Bombyx mori: one gene and its partners. The protein of the gene in region 1 binds, or shares a complex with, the protein of each later gene. Links are inferred from orthologs where the notes say so. Each region holds a gene or a part of one and is shown in the gene's direction. Other genes may lie near its edges.

Region 1 (4,288 bases):
AATTAGCTTGCGTGTTTTTGTTTTCTACCTATGCTGATATCCTTGAGAGGCTATTTCAGCTTCTCCTTGTAGTTTAGCTCACGAGGCTCAAACCGGTAGTGTTGCCAACACTGGCCCTAGCAAGTTGAGTGATGGTATTTACTATCTTCTATGAGTTTTATTATAAATTAATCTTTCGAACGGTCATGTAAAGGTTGGGTACTTAAAAATTACAAAAATAATTCAGTCGCTACTGAATTCAGTAGCAAGGATGGTTTCTGACTGACTAAATCATTTAGAAGCCTAATTAGAAATGCATCTAGGAAGGTGTAATCGCATTTAGTTACTTAATGGTTTCAGTCGTCCCATAGCTCTCCGTGCGTAAGAACGTTTTAGTTTGTTTTTTGCTTCCGAATAAAAAGTATTGATTTCGGTCGCCTTTATTTAATGTGCCAGACATTTATAAATAGCCCGACATGTTTCAGGAATAGTTTTTGTCATAAAGGGTTGGGATATTGAAAAACTAAATTTTAAATCTTGATACGTATTTCCTGTTGCAAGAAATCTTCATGTTACAACCAATCTTTCTTTTGGACTTATAATATCGTAGGATTAGATATGTAATAGTTATAAAATAGATATATAATAGACTATCGTAGGATAATATCCTGCTTTTGAATAAACGGTGTCACAAGTTTTAATATTAGGTCAAACGAGATCGAATCCATTTATAGATAATTTCTGAAGTCTGCTGGTTCTAAATCACTCTAATGTTCATATTTGCTAACATTCCGCACAGCAATAAATATTTCTTTACCGATATTCTTGTTTTTTTTTTGAGAAATTGAAATAAAAAATAAAAACAAAAAATTTGTTGTTGTCTAGACAATACTGGGGCCATCCTCTTACGCACACGACACGTCTTACTTCGTCGCGCTTAAACTGACAATTGATTCAGTAACTGAATTTAAAACAGTTTAATCAGAAGCTTCTAAATTTGCTTCTGAAGTCAGTCGACTAAATTCAGCCAAGTGTAATAAGCCTTTAATCACAAAATACCATAGATAAAAAATACCATAGATACCAAAAACTAAAAAAAATAGTTTATTTTTCACAACTTACAATGGCAACATAAAAATTATATAAAAAATATTAGCATACAGCCTAGCAAGTGAGATAAAAAGAAGTAATATCTCAATAACTTGTGGTTAAATGTAATTGTAGTTGGTGTTGGTTGGTGTAAATTTGCTGAAACTTAACGGACTTGAACAAATGAGATGGGAAGCTACACTGACTTAACTTGACTTACAACTTAACTTCACTTAACTTAAAAAGTCCATATTTCTGTTTTTGAACCCAAATTAGCAATAGAATGAAGTGAATAAGTTTTTCTTATTAATTAGCTTTTAATTTTAAATTTGCAGAAGATTTCTCCACTAAATTTTAAAAGAAATCACATTGAGTAAACTGTAGTCAATGCAATGCAACGTTCAACAGGAGTTCCGCACTAGTATTTTCTATGACCATAGACTAAATGTGTAAGCTTTTTCAAGCTTCATGAAAACAACGGATTAGTATGTATGGTAGTGCGTTAGATTGATTGCGCCGCAAATTATTTTCTCGGGTAAGTGATTCACTTTTTAAGTTATTGAAAAATTACAATTCTAACGAGTATCCCTACACTTAGTACACGTTTTGTGATTAGTGTAATGAATGTACTTGTAGTAAAATCTGCAACAAGATTGCGGGGTGTGTGCTCTATTTAGTGGTTTTAAACAATTAATGATGTAATTGCCCAGTTTGTAGTTAAATGCTTAACCGAATTATAGTATTAAAAGTAGTTTTTACTAGCATAATTGTTAAGTCGGTGTTTGTTAAACAAACAAACAATTAGGATATGGAGGTTAGAGTCAGTAGAGTCTGTTAACACAGAGTTTTGTTTCATTTTCAGTGTTGTATAAGGTGAGGAATGAATGTGGATTAATCAAAATAATTTTGATTTTGGAAAAAAGGGAACAAATTAACTAAATAAATATATTTTACCAGAATGGCAACCTTAGAACAACAGGCATCTAAACTTTTGGATTTCAATCAAAAATTGGACATCAATTTATTGGACAACATTGTTGGCTGTTTATATTCTGCTGTTGGGGATCAACAACGTGTTGCTCAGGATATACTGACTGCTTTGAAGGAACATCCTGATGCTTGGACTCGTGTTGATACAATACTTGAATATTCTCAAAATCAAGAAACTAAATATTATGCATTACAAATATTAGAACAAGTAATACTAACGAGATGGAAAATATTACCAAGAAATCAGTGTGAGGGTATAAAAAAATATATAGTTGGCCTTATCATTAAAAATTCATCAGATCCTGTTACGATGGAAAGCAACAAAGTTTATTTGAAAAAACTAAACATGATCCTTATTCAAGTTCTGAAAAGAGAATGGCCCCATAATTGGGAAACTTTTATCAGTGACATTGTGGGTGCCTCAAAGACGAATGAAAGTCTCTGTCAAAACAATATGGAAATATTCAAGTTGTTGAGTGAAGAAGTATTTATGTTTAGTACAGGCCAGCTCACACAAACAAAAGCTAAGCATCTAAAAGATACAATGTGTTCAGAATTCAGTCAAATCTTTCAGCTATGCCAATTTGTCTTGGAAAATTCACAAAATGCACCTTTAGTTGGAGTGACCTTAGACACTCTTTTGAGATTTTTAAATTGGATTCCACTTGGTTATATTTTCGAAATGAAATTGATAAGCACATTGATATTTAAGTTTCTGAACGTGCCGATGTTTAGGAATGTAACATTGAGCTGTCTTACTGAAATTGCCGGTGTCACAGTCAGCAATTATGATCAGCAGTTTGTTTATTTGTTTGTACAAACTATGGAACAACTTGAAGTTATGCTTCCTCTAACTACAAACATACGTGAAGCATATGTAGCTGGTCGAGATCAGGAACAAGTTTTTATTCAAAATCTTGCACTTTTCTTATGCACATATCTAAAAGAGCATGGTCCGCTCATAGAAAAGAGTGGATTAACAAACACTTTAATGAATGGTTTGAGGTATCTTGTCTTAATATCAGAGGTAGAAGATGTAGAAATTTTCAAAATTTGTCTTGAATATTGGAATGCTCTTGCTGCTGATTTGTACAAAATTGCGCCATGTTCGTCAAACTTGTACCATTTGGGTAAAAGTGGAGGCCGAAAAGCTTTGTATGCTGATGTCTTGAGCAGTGTTCGGTATATTATGATCTCGAGAATGGCAAAACCAGAAGAGGTGTTAGTTGTTGAAAATGAAAATGGTGAAGTTGTGAGAGAATTTATGAAGGACACAGACTCCATTAATTTGTATAAAAATATGAGAGAAACATTAGTTTACTTGACACATTTAGACTATTTAGATACTGAACGTATTATGACAGAGAAATTACAAAATCAAGTAAATGGTACTGAGTGGTCATGGAAGAACTTGAACACATTATGTTGGGCAATTGGATCTATTTCTGGAGCTCTATCTGAGGATGATGAAAAGAGATTTTTGGTTATTGTGATTAAAGAGCTTCTAGGTCTCTGTGAACAGAAAAAGGGAAAAGATAACAAAGCTATAATTGCTAGTAACATAATGTATGTCGTAGGACAATACCCACGCTTTCTTCGTGCACATTGGAAATTTTTAAAAACCGTTGTCAATAAACTTTTTGAATTCATGCATGAAACACATGATGGTGTCCAAGACATGGCGTGTGATACATTCATAAAAATTGCTATAAAATGCCGTCGACATTTTGTCACTACTCAAGTTGGAGAAGCCTGTCCTTTTATTGAAGAAATATTGGGCACCATTAGTACTATAATTTGTGATTTACAAACATTGCAAGTTCACACTTTTTATGAAGCTGTTGGATACATGATCAGTGCCCAAGTAGATCAAGTAGCCCAAGAACTTTTAATTGAAAAATACATGCTTCTGCCTAATCAAGTTTGGGATGATATTATATCTCAAGCTTCTCGTAATGTTGAAATCTTGAAAGACCCTGAAGCTGTTAAACAACTTGTAAGTATACTGAAAACAAATGTGCGTGCATGTCGTGCACTAGCACACCCATATGTTGTGCAATTAGGAAGGATATACCTTGACATGCTTAATGTTTACAAAGTAATGTCTGAAAATATAAGTCAAGCCATAGCTTTAAATGGCGTAGCAGTTACTAAACAACCTCTCATTAAGAATATGAGAATAATAAAAAAGGAAACTTTGAACCTTATTTCAAGTTGGGTTACACGCTCG
Region 2 (3,624 bases), on another chromosome or scaffold:
TGGTGGTAGGACGTCTTCTGATTCCGCATGAATAGGTACCACCACTCTACCTATTTCTGCCGTGAAGCAGTAATGCGTTTCGGTTTAAAGGACGTGGCAGCCGTTGTAACTATACTGAGACCTTAGAACTCATATCTCAAGGTGGGTGGTAGCATTTACGTTGTAAATGTCTATGGGCTCTTGTAACCACTTAACGCCAGGAGAGCTGTGAGCTCGTCCATCCATCTATGCAATAAAAAATAAAAAAAAACATCTTCAGGTAGGCAAACCTTAGAAATGAATTTGTTAAAATTTTTGGCACGGTTCGGCCTGGTTACGCGTCCCCATAGATGCTATTGCGTAATTGCTGCGGCGTTGAGATATGATATCGAAACCTGAAGATCTAAGTTGACCCTGCTCTTCAAACTTAACCTGAGTACATAATGATTTTTGACTGTCTTCTTCGTCGCTTTCTCTTTACTGAAGGTCGTGACCACGTTGGTCTAGTTTTTGCATCAGCTTCTTTCAATGTTGCCTGCATTCGGCGTGCTTAATGGCGCCTGGGACGCTGGTGTTTGTGGCCTCCTTGACAATGTCCGTTCGCCTGGTTGGCGATCTTCCTCGACTTCTCTTTCCTTCCACGTGCTCCTACAAGGCAGGCTGGTGGCACCCACCCGCGCGGACTCACAAGAGGTCCTACCACCAGTAATTACGCAAATTATAATTTTGCGGGTTTGATTTTTATTACACGATGTTATTCCTTCACCGTGTAAGTCAATCGTGAACATTTGTTGCGTACGTATTTAATTAGAAAAATTGGTACCCGCCTGTGGGATTCGAACACCGGTGCATCGCTTCAACACGAATGCAGCGGACGTCTTTATCCGTTAGGCCACGACGACTTCTTGAGTTGACTGTCTATTTATGTATTTAAATATTATTTCAGGTCCACTACCCGACGTCCCGACCGAACGGTACAAACGACGCAGTCGCGTACGCGTGCATAGACTACGATAGCGAACAAGAATTTAATACTTTTTTTAATAAATTGCGAACTGAAATATTAGATAGTTTTAGGTGAGTCAAAACAGTGATACTCCTAGACGATGATACTATTTATTACTTTCTCGACATTAATATCCATCTCCAACCTACATTGAATATTAGTGGCTGCAAGATAATAGGTACTTACCGCAGCACATAGACATTGCAGTATGGAATTGCTGAAGTCTTCCATGGAGAACTAGGTCGAAGTGTCACGTCATACCTCGCCCTTCAGACCCGAACGTATGTTTGGGTTGTGAAGACAGTGTGTAGCCTCATAACAGATACATATTCCTTAACACCAGCGCTTAAGATTTAAATTAGGCTGTCCGTAGTAACTTGAAGTAGATTGCTAGTTTCGCAGATTACCAAACACTGAACTGAACTTAAACTAACCCATAGACACAGCCCACTAAGTTTCTCGCCAGATCTTCTCAATGGGTCGCGTTTCCGATCCGGTTGTAGATTCTGCGAAACACTGCTCTTGTTAGGGCTAGTGTTAGCAACATCCCTAGGTTAGAGCCCCGTGAGCTCACCTACTCGTTAGGTTACGCTGGCATCGTCTCTCAAGACTACCAGTTTAAGTAGGAAAAATGAAGAACTTAAATACAGATTTGTAAATTCTATCATACTCTGCGATTTGATATACATATCCAGAATAATAAGTAACGTTTACATATTACAGTTAACCCAGGGAGAATGTTACATAATAATTTATTTTTTTCATATAAAAAACCTTTAATTAATGATTCTTAGTAGTAGTAGTAGTAGTAATAGATATTAAGTAGAATTTTAAATTGTACAGGTTTTGTATGATGGCGGCCCCACTAGTGACGTGGTCGTACGTGGAGCAGTGGACGCAGTCGGCGCTGGACAAGCTGGAGTCGTGTCCGCGCGCGCTCCACACGCAGCACCCGCTCTACGTCGAGTGGGAGGCGCTCACGCAGGTATCTCTTTATACGGCCCATTTCTATTTTATATTTTTTATGCCTATTTCTACTGTGAAGCAGTAATGCGTTTCGGTTTGAAGGGTGGGGCAGCCGTTGTAACTATACTTGAGACCTTAGAACTTACATCTCAAGGTGGGTGGCGCATTTACGTCATAGATACAAGGGCAATAAAAAAAAATTAAAAAAAGATGTCTATGGGCTCCAGTAACCACTTAACACCAGGTGGGCTGTGAGCTCTTCCATCCATCAGAGCAATAAAAAAAATATAAAAAATACGGTACTTTTACGGAAAGCAGCGGCTTGGCTCTGCCCCTGGCATATCTGACGTCCATGAGCGACGGTAACCACTCACCATCAGGTGGGCCTTTGCTCGTCTGCCTGTACGGAGAGAAAGAAAGGTTAAAGCGAGCTAGGTCGTTTCTCTTAAACGCATCATTCAATACTACAAGAGAAATTTGAATAAAAAAAAAAAGTAATTCATGAAAGGAAGAAAACCACAATAACACACAATGCAAAAGAAATTTCACTTCTGTGACGTGCGCCAAGTTGCACTCGCACCAATTTTTTTTCTTCTCTTAATCAATTTTACAATAATCCTAGTAATATTTGTCTTTATTTGACAACCAATTTAAATCAAAACCGGTAGATAGCGTAGCCTTTTCCCAGCAATGAAGACTACATCTAAATTTATTATTAGTATTATGACGTCAACGTTCAAGAATTCTGAATAAGGATTTGCGCTGCTCGAAGATCTCAATCTCCACCAACAAACCTTTGTACACCGATTTCAATTAATGAGATATATTGGATGGTTTCTAAACTTTTTATTTTTGATAAAACTATTGACTAACAAAATTTTAATAATAGTTTATAATTTATTGAAAATTTTCTTATTTATTTTTTAATTAAGTAGCTACACATTTTCTGTCCAGTTGTATCAATGGGTTATGTTAAAAGATTAAAAAATATATCGACGCTTGAAAGGCAAACGTGACTAAGCGATAATGCGTGAACTTTACAGTAGACTAATTTAAAGTTGAAATACCTGAAAAAAATTTAATCTAGCTGTAGGATTGAAATGATTTTAATAGACTTAAAAATATATTTTTTGGTTATTGCCTATCATTTATGTATAAAGCAGTTATTATCGCTTAGTCACGTTTGCCTTTCAAGCGTCGACATTTTAAATTAAGAAAATGTCCGTTGTGTGTACGAAGGCGCTGGACGTGGTGCTGTCGCGGCTGGTGGAGACGGAGCCCCGGCCCAGCGCCGCGGCCGGCCTGGCGCTGCTGCAGCGCTGCGTGCTCACACAGCCCTCCGACCCGCTCTTGCTGTCACTGTTATTGTCACTCATCTCCGCGCTCTTCGTGTTCCTCAGCTGCGCCTACAGCCAGCTAGCAGGTACATATCGTCATTTCGCATTAAAAGTGTACAATTTCCAAAAATATTCGAAATTGAGTTAATATGCGGAATCATTTGGTATCACCATTATTTTTCTCATGAGTACTGTCAAAAGAGCGTACTTATAGTTTTAGTTTTTTTTTTTTTAGTTTACCTATATTTTGACTACCTACTATTAACAAAATTAATACATAATTTTATCTTTCTTTAAAAGACAGATAATGTAACCGGTAAAAAATAAAAAATAAAT
Region 3 (4,395 bases), on another chromosome or scaffold:
CGGCAAACTTCTTGAGCATTTGTTGACGTAGTGGGGGTAAGTTTGCGCATGGTACACTCACGTGCAAAAACATTATTTACTCTGCGTCATAATGCAATTAAATTATTAAAATCAACATATGTATTTATTTATATATTTATTAGAACATTAACAAAAAATATAGGTTAATAATTGTAATAATTTAATCTTGGGGTAAAATAGATATTCCTTCTATTAAGTCAAAACTAGAGCTGTTGCCAGGTCTTCGTTCAGTTGAAGCGAAGCTGGTATTTGTAATTTTTTTTTCGTTATCATAATCTTGACCATTATCATCATCACTGTTTTCATCACCCGAGTCGCCATCATCGTGATAAGTCGACATAGGGCTCATCGGTGTAGTTTACGACTCGGTCGGTTCGATCTTCTTTTTTGTCTATAATTAATTATTTTTTGAAGATATTCGATTCGTAGTAATCGAATGTTACTTTTTTCAGTTACCAGCTTCCGATTATTTTCTGTTTTTTTTTTCCATCTGAAGCCTAGCTCTTTCATAATTCGTCGTAAACTTCATACCGAGCCATTAAAATGTATATCTTCTTTAAAATTTTCGAAGCCTTTCTACGGTACGGAGTTTCGCTGCTTGTTATGTAGTTATTATGATTACATCTTTTTATTACAGATTGAACGAAACTATCCATTCCGGTAACTTTCTTCTTCCCTGATCTTTTCTTACCCGGAGTCCCAAGCACGATGAGCAAGCCAGAGCCTTTAGCTTCGTTAATAATGCACCTAACAGTACTCACTGATGTTTTTGTTGCTTCCGAAGTCTGTTTTACTTTTTCCATAATATCATTCTTCCCCTGTTTTATAATGAAGCAATATACGTCGTACACAATTTTTCTACCCTTTCTTTTGAATACTACACCAGTTTGTCGCGGCATAGTGTATTTTTTATAAAAAATCAACAAACACTCAACAAATAGCAATGGCAACAAAGTCAACAAGCAATTATAACAAAATATAACTTAACGATTAATAACGATATACTTTTCACTGTACGCAAGCGTACTTTTGGGAGCAAGCGGAACGAAGGCGCGGTGCGGGACGCAAGGTTCGACTGATCTACCAATAACGCGCTCGATACGATTTCCCCTGCCGTCGCGCCTCACCCTCACCACCAAAGTGATCTAAAATTCGGTTCTGCGCAGTCAAGGTCATTTGCTCACGATGTTTGCCGGTTACTATACCAAGAAGAAAAGAGATATATATATATTTTGGATATAAAGATAATTATCATCCTTTTATATATTTAACTCTTTATATTTTAATGAATTAATAATGAAAATTGCCGACAAGATGAGTTAAGTAATATTAATTCTGTAAAATATAAATAGCGGTCTGATTTCCTTTCATACTTAACAGGCTTAGGCCTGTCAACTTAGTTGCAAAAGTTTAAATACCTACATAATTTAATAAAAATTATATTTATATTAAATATTCGATCAAATCAAACAACCAAGCGATCAATCGAATAAGTCGAATTATTCGAATGAACGAAGTGATGGTTAGTTCATCGAGCTCATCACTGTTTCATTAAAATGTCAATGTCTATGTCTTTGTCAAATGAAATTGACATGTTCGGAAACCACAGACAATATCAAAATAATTGAAAAAAAATCCGTTGGAGTACATAATTGCGTTTTTGCGTTATATTTATTTTCTATTTATTATATTTATTACATAAACTGTAAAATGGCCACTTTCGATTTAAATTCATTAAACACAGTGCTTGATGAGCCCGCACAGCCGGAAACCGGTGTCGATTTTTCTGGAAAATCTCTAAAATTGGATACCGCGAAAGATGGTGGGTCTATTAACTAGAGCGAAGGCCGTGTAATTCTTAACACGCATAGCTAATCAAATATTACATAAAACATACTAGTTGTTTATTTGAAATTCACTAGACGCGCATGTAAAAAAATCGTCTACAACATAACCTAAAAAAGTGAAATAAAAATAAACAAAACAAAATTTGACGCGATCTCGTGTTTGTTCAATTTGCTTGGAAATAAAGTATATTTTCTATATTAATCAGATTTGGACTTGAAATCATAGCCATAGTACCAAATTTGATACTGAATGAATGAATGTGTTACCTACATCAAGCTTAAATTGTTTCAGCACAACAAATTGTAGACGCGATCAATAAATGCCCGAACCTCCAATATCTTGCGTTGACCGGCAATACACTGGGTGTGACGGCCGCCCATGCGATCTCCAAGGCCTTAGAATCACACCCTGAACTCAAGATAGCCAGATTCTCGGACATGTTTACTGGGAGAATGAAAACTGAGATCCCGCCAGCTTTGGTAAGGCTTTTTCCCAAAATCTAAAATGAAGAGGACTTTTTATTGCTTTTGTAGTCAGACGCTTATACAGCTTAGCTAATGATAAGGGCTATCTTTGATAATGAATATGAGTAATGTCACATGCACAGCCGAGCAGCTGACTAGAAACAATTGAATTTATTAAATGTCAAGAAATTTAATTTCAAATTAAAGTTTTTGTAGTCTAAAGGACATTTGTATAGAGCGAATCCTGAAGATAGGTATTCATTTACCACATTTAGGCTGGTGACAATATCTAGGGGGTATCACTTATTATTAAGATTATTTCATTTACAGAGTGCTTTAGGTGATGGCATGATAGCAGCTGGAGCTCGTTTAGCTGTGCTGGACCTGAGTGATAATGCATTCGGCCCAATAGGAGTTGAAGGTCTTGCTAAGCTGCTGCAAAGTGATGTCTGCTCTGACCTAGAGGTAATTTGTTTAATAGCTCTTGATAATGAATTTACAGTCATATGGTACAGGACCGTGTGGGAGGTCACCAATGCCATGGGCCGACCAAATTAAAACTTCATTGGGAAGAAGAAGAATGAATCTACAATTAATGCCAGACATATAACCCATTGAGTTTCTTGCCGGATCTTAGTGGATTAAAATCCTGAGCTGCTGATAGAGTCAACAAAGCAATGCTCTTGTTAGAGCAAATGTTAGCAAAGTCTCTCAAGCTGAGCTCCATTAGCTTGCCCGATCACAGTGAAACTTTATTACGCATTTAAGGCTTCTGGCGATTATGTAGGGACACAAAGAATCAAATCTTTATCACTGGATAGGTGGATGTACATATTCGGCATGCCTGGCATTAAGTGGTTATTGTTTGTGTAGACTGACTGATGCCATACTCAAGACATGTATATCTATGTAATATGATAAAAAAATTGCATCTTTCTCTACGTAAATCAATTTTTTGTCTTATCATCAAATTGTTCTCAAAAATCTTTATAATAAAATTCCCTTTTTTTGTTTCATTCCCACTGCTATAATTTCTAGCACTGATCAGATGTATTTATTAAAATCACTTTATAAAGCTTACAAAATACGTTTCCAGGAGCTTCGTCTGAACAACAACGGCCTTGGCATAACCGGTGGTAAGTTGTTGGCACGCGCACTCTCCAGTAGGAAGCGGAGACTACGGGTCTTCATAGCCGGGAGGAATCGTTTGGAGAATGACGGTGCCACCGCGCTGGCCAAAGTTTTTCAGGTGTGTTCATTTCTATCAAGCTATCTCGACCCCAGGCTCCAAGTCTAAAGTATTTCCATTACTGAATAAAGAATATGAACCTGAGAAAAAAAACGTCAGCCATAGAAACATTGATTGAAATGAAAAATATTATAACTTACTAGCTGACCCGGCAGACTTCGTAGTGCCTCAATCGATAAATAAAATACCTAAACTTTTCTATAAAATAAACTTAAAACAAACAAAAGAAATCTATCCGACGAGTGACACATCAAAGTAAAAACAAAATTGTAATTTTTATTTCATTCCGAGCATTTTCATATTTATCTACCTTTTAAACCTTCTCTGGACTTGCACAAATAATTCAAGACCAAAATTAGCCAAATCGGTCCAGCCGTTCTCGAGTTTTAGCGAGACTAACAAATAGCAATTCATTTTTATATAAATAGATAGATTAGTTTTCTTTTCAATGGGTCAGTACCAGACAAATACATAACAAAAAGCAGCTGATTTGCTAAAGCGGTTGATAATTTCCTTACAAAGGTGATAAAAATATACCTGATTAGATCTGGGCATCTCTCAGGTGTTCATTTGTTTATGCAATATAAATAAAATATTGTACACTTGTTCACAGGAAATGGGTTCCTTAGAAGAGATAGCTATGCCACAGAACGGTATATACCATGTCGGTATAACGGCTCTATCGGAAGCATTCAAACACAACCCGGCACTGAACCATCTTAATTTAAATGACAATACTATCGGGGCTAAAGGTGCTGAAGCCATTGCCGGTGCCCTGCCAAGGTAAAGTAAGCACTGAGTGAATTATCAACT

The links.
Region 2: exportin-1 (region 1) and exportin-5 share a complex: the UniProt entries of both Homo sapiens proteins name them as parts of the nuclear export receptor complex. The link is inferred for Bombyx mori from reciprocal best matches to the Homo sapiens genes XPO1 and XPO5.
Region 3: the proteins of exportin-1 (region 1) and ran GTPase-activating protein 1 are in contact, whole or in part, in a cryo-EM structure (PDB 9B62), measured with the Homo sapiens proteins. The link is inferred for Bombyx mori from reciprocal best matches to the Homo sapiens genes XPO1 and RANGAP1. Residues at the interface, in NP_003391.1 of Homo sapiens: Lys245, Ser248, Thr249, Tyr252, Lys253, Glu281, Gln282, Val284, Thr285, Leu289, Met292, Gln293, Gln296, Arg340, Asn342, Leu343, Lys514, Val518, Ile521, Lys522, Leu525, Glu529, Arg532, Lys534, Lys537, Ala538, Ala541, Met545, Phe554, His558; in NP_001265580.1 of Homo sapiens: Ala2, Asp5, Ile6, Leu9, Ala10, Thr12, Leu13, Ala14, Thr16, Gln17, Val18, Ala19, Gln22, Leu23, Ser24, Phe25, Lys28, Glu44, Arg55, Ala561, Thr564, Lys565, Pro566, Ser568, Glu571, Ser572, Ser574, Phe575, Arg577, His578.

The regions. Positions count from the first base shown.
Region 1 is NC_085118.1:10,175,581-10,179,868, forward strand, and holds the start of exportin-1, read left to right. Parts: upstream 1-1,443; 5' UTR 1,444-1,603; intron 1,604-1,930; 5' UTR 1,931-2,026; coding exon 2,027-4,288. UniProt on the Homo sapiens protein: Mediates the nuclear export of cellular proteins (cargos) bearing a leucine-rich nuclear export signal (NES) and of RNAs.
Region 2 is NC_085119.1:13,766,527-13,770,150, reverse strand, and holds part of exportin-5, read left to right. Parts: intron 1-925; coding exon 926-1,056; intron 1,057-1,828; coding exon 1,829-1,970; intron 1,971-3,190; coding exon 3,191-3,374; intron 3,375-3,624. UniProt on the Homo sapiens protein: Mediates the nuclear export of proteins bearing a double-stranded RNA binding domain (dsRBD) and double-stranded RNAs (cargos). XPO5 in the nucleus binds cooperatively to the RNA and to the GTPase Ran in its active GTP-bound form.
Region 3 is NC_085117.1:346,811-351,205, reverse strand, and holds the start of ran GTPase-activating protein 1, read left to right. Parts: upstream 1-1,590; 5' UTR 1,591-1,602; coding exon 1,603-1,843; intron 1,844-2,160; coding exon 2,161-2,348; intron 2,349-2,663; coding exon 2,664-2,798; intron 2,799-3,429; coding exon 3,430-3,582; intron 3,583-4,195; coding exon 4,196-4,365; intron 4,366-4,395. UniProt on the Homo sapiens protein: GTPase activator for RAN. Converts cytoplasmic GTP-bound RAN to GDP-bound RAN, which is essential for RAN-mediated nuclear import and export. Mediates dissociation of cargo from nuclear export complexes containing XPO1, RAN and RANBP2 after nuclear export.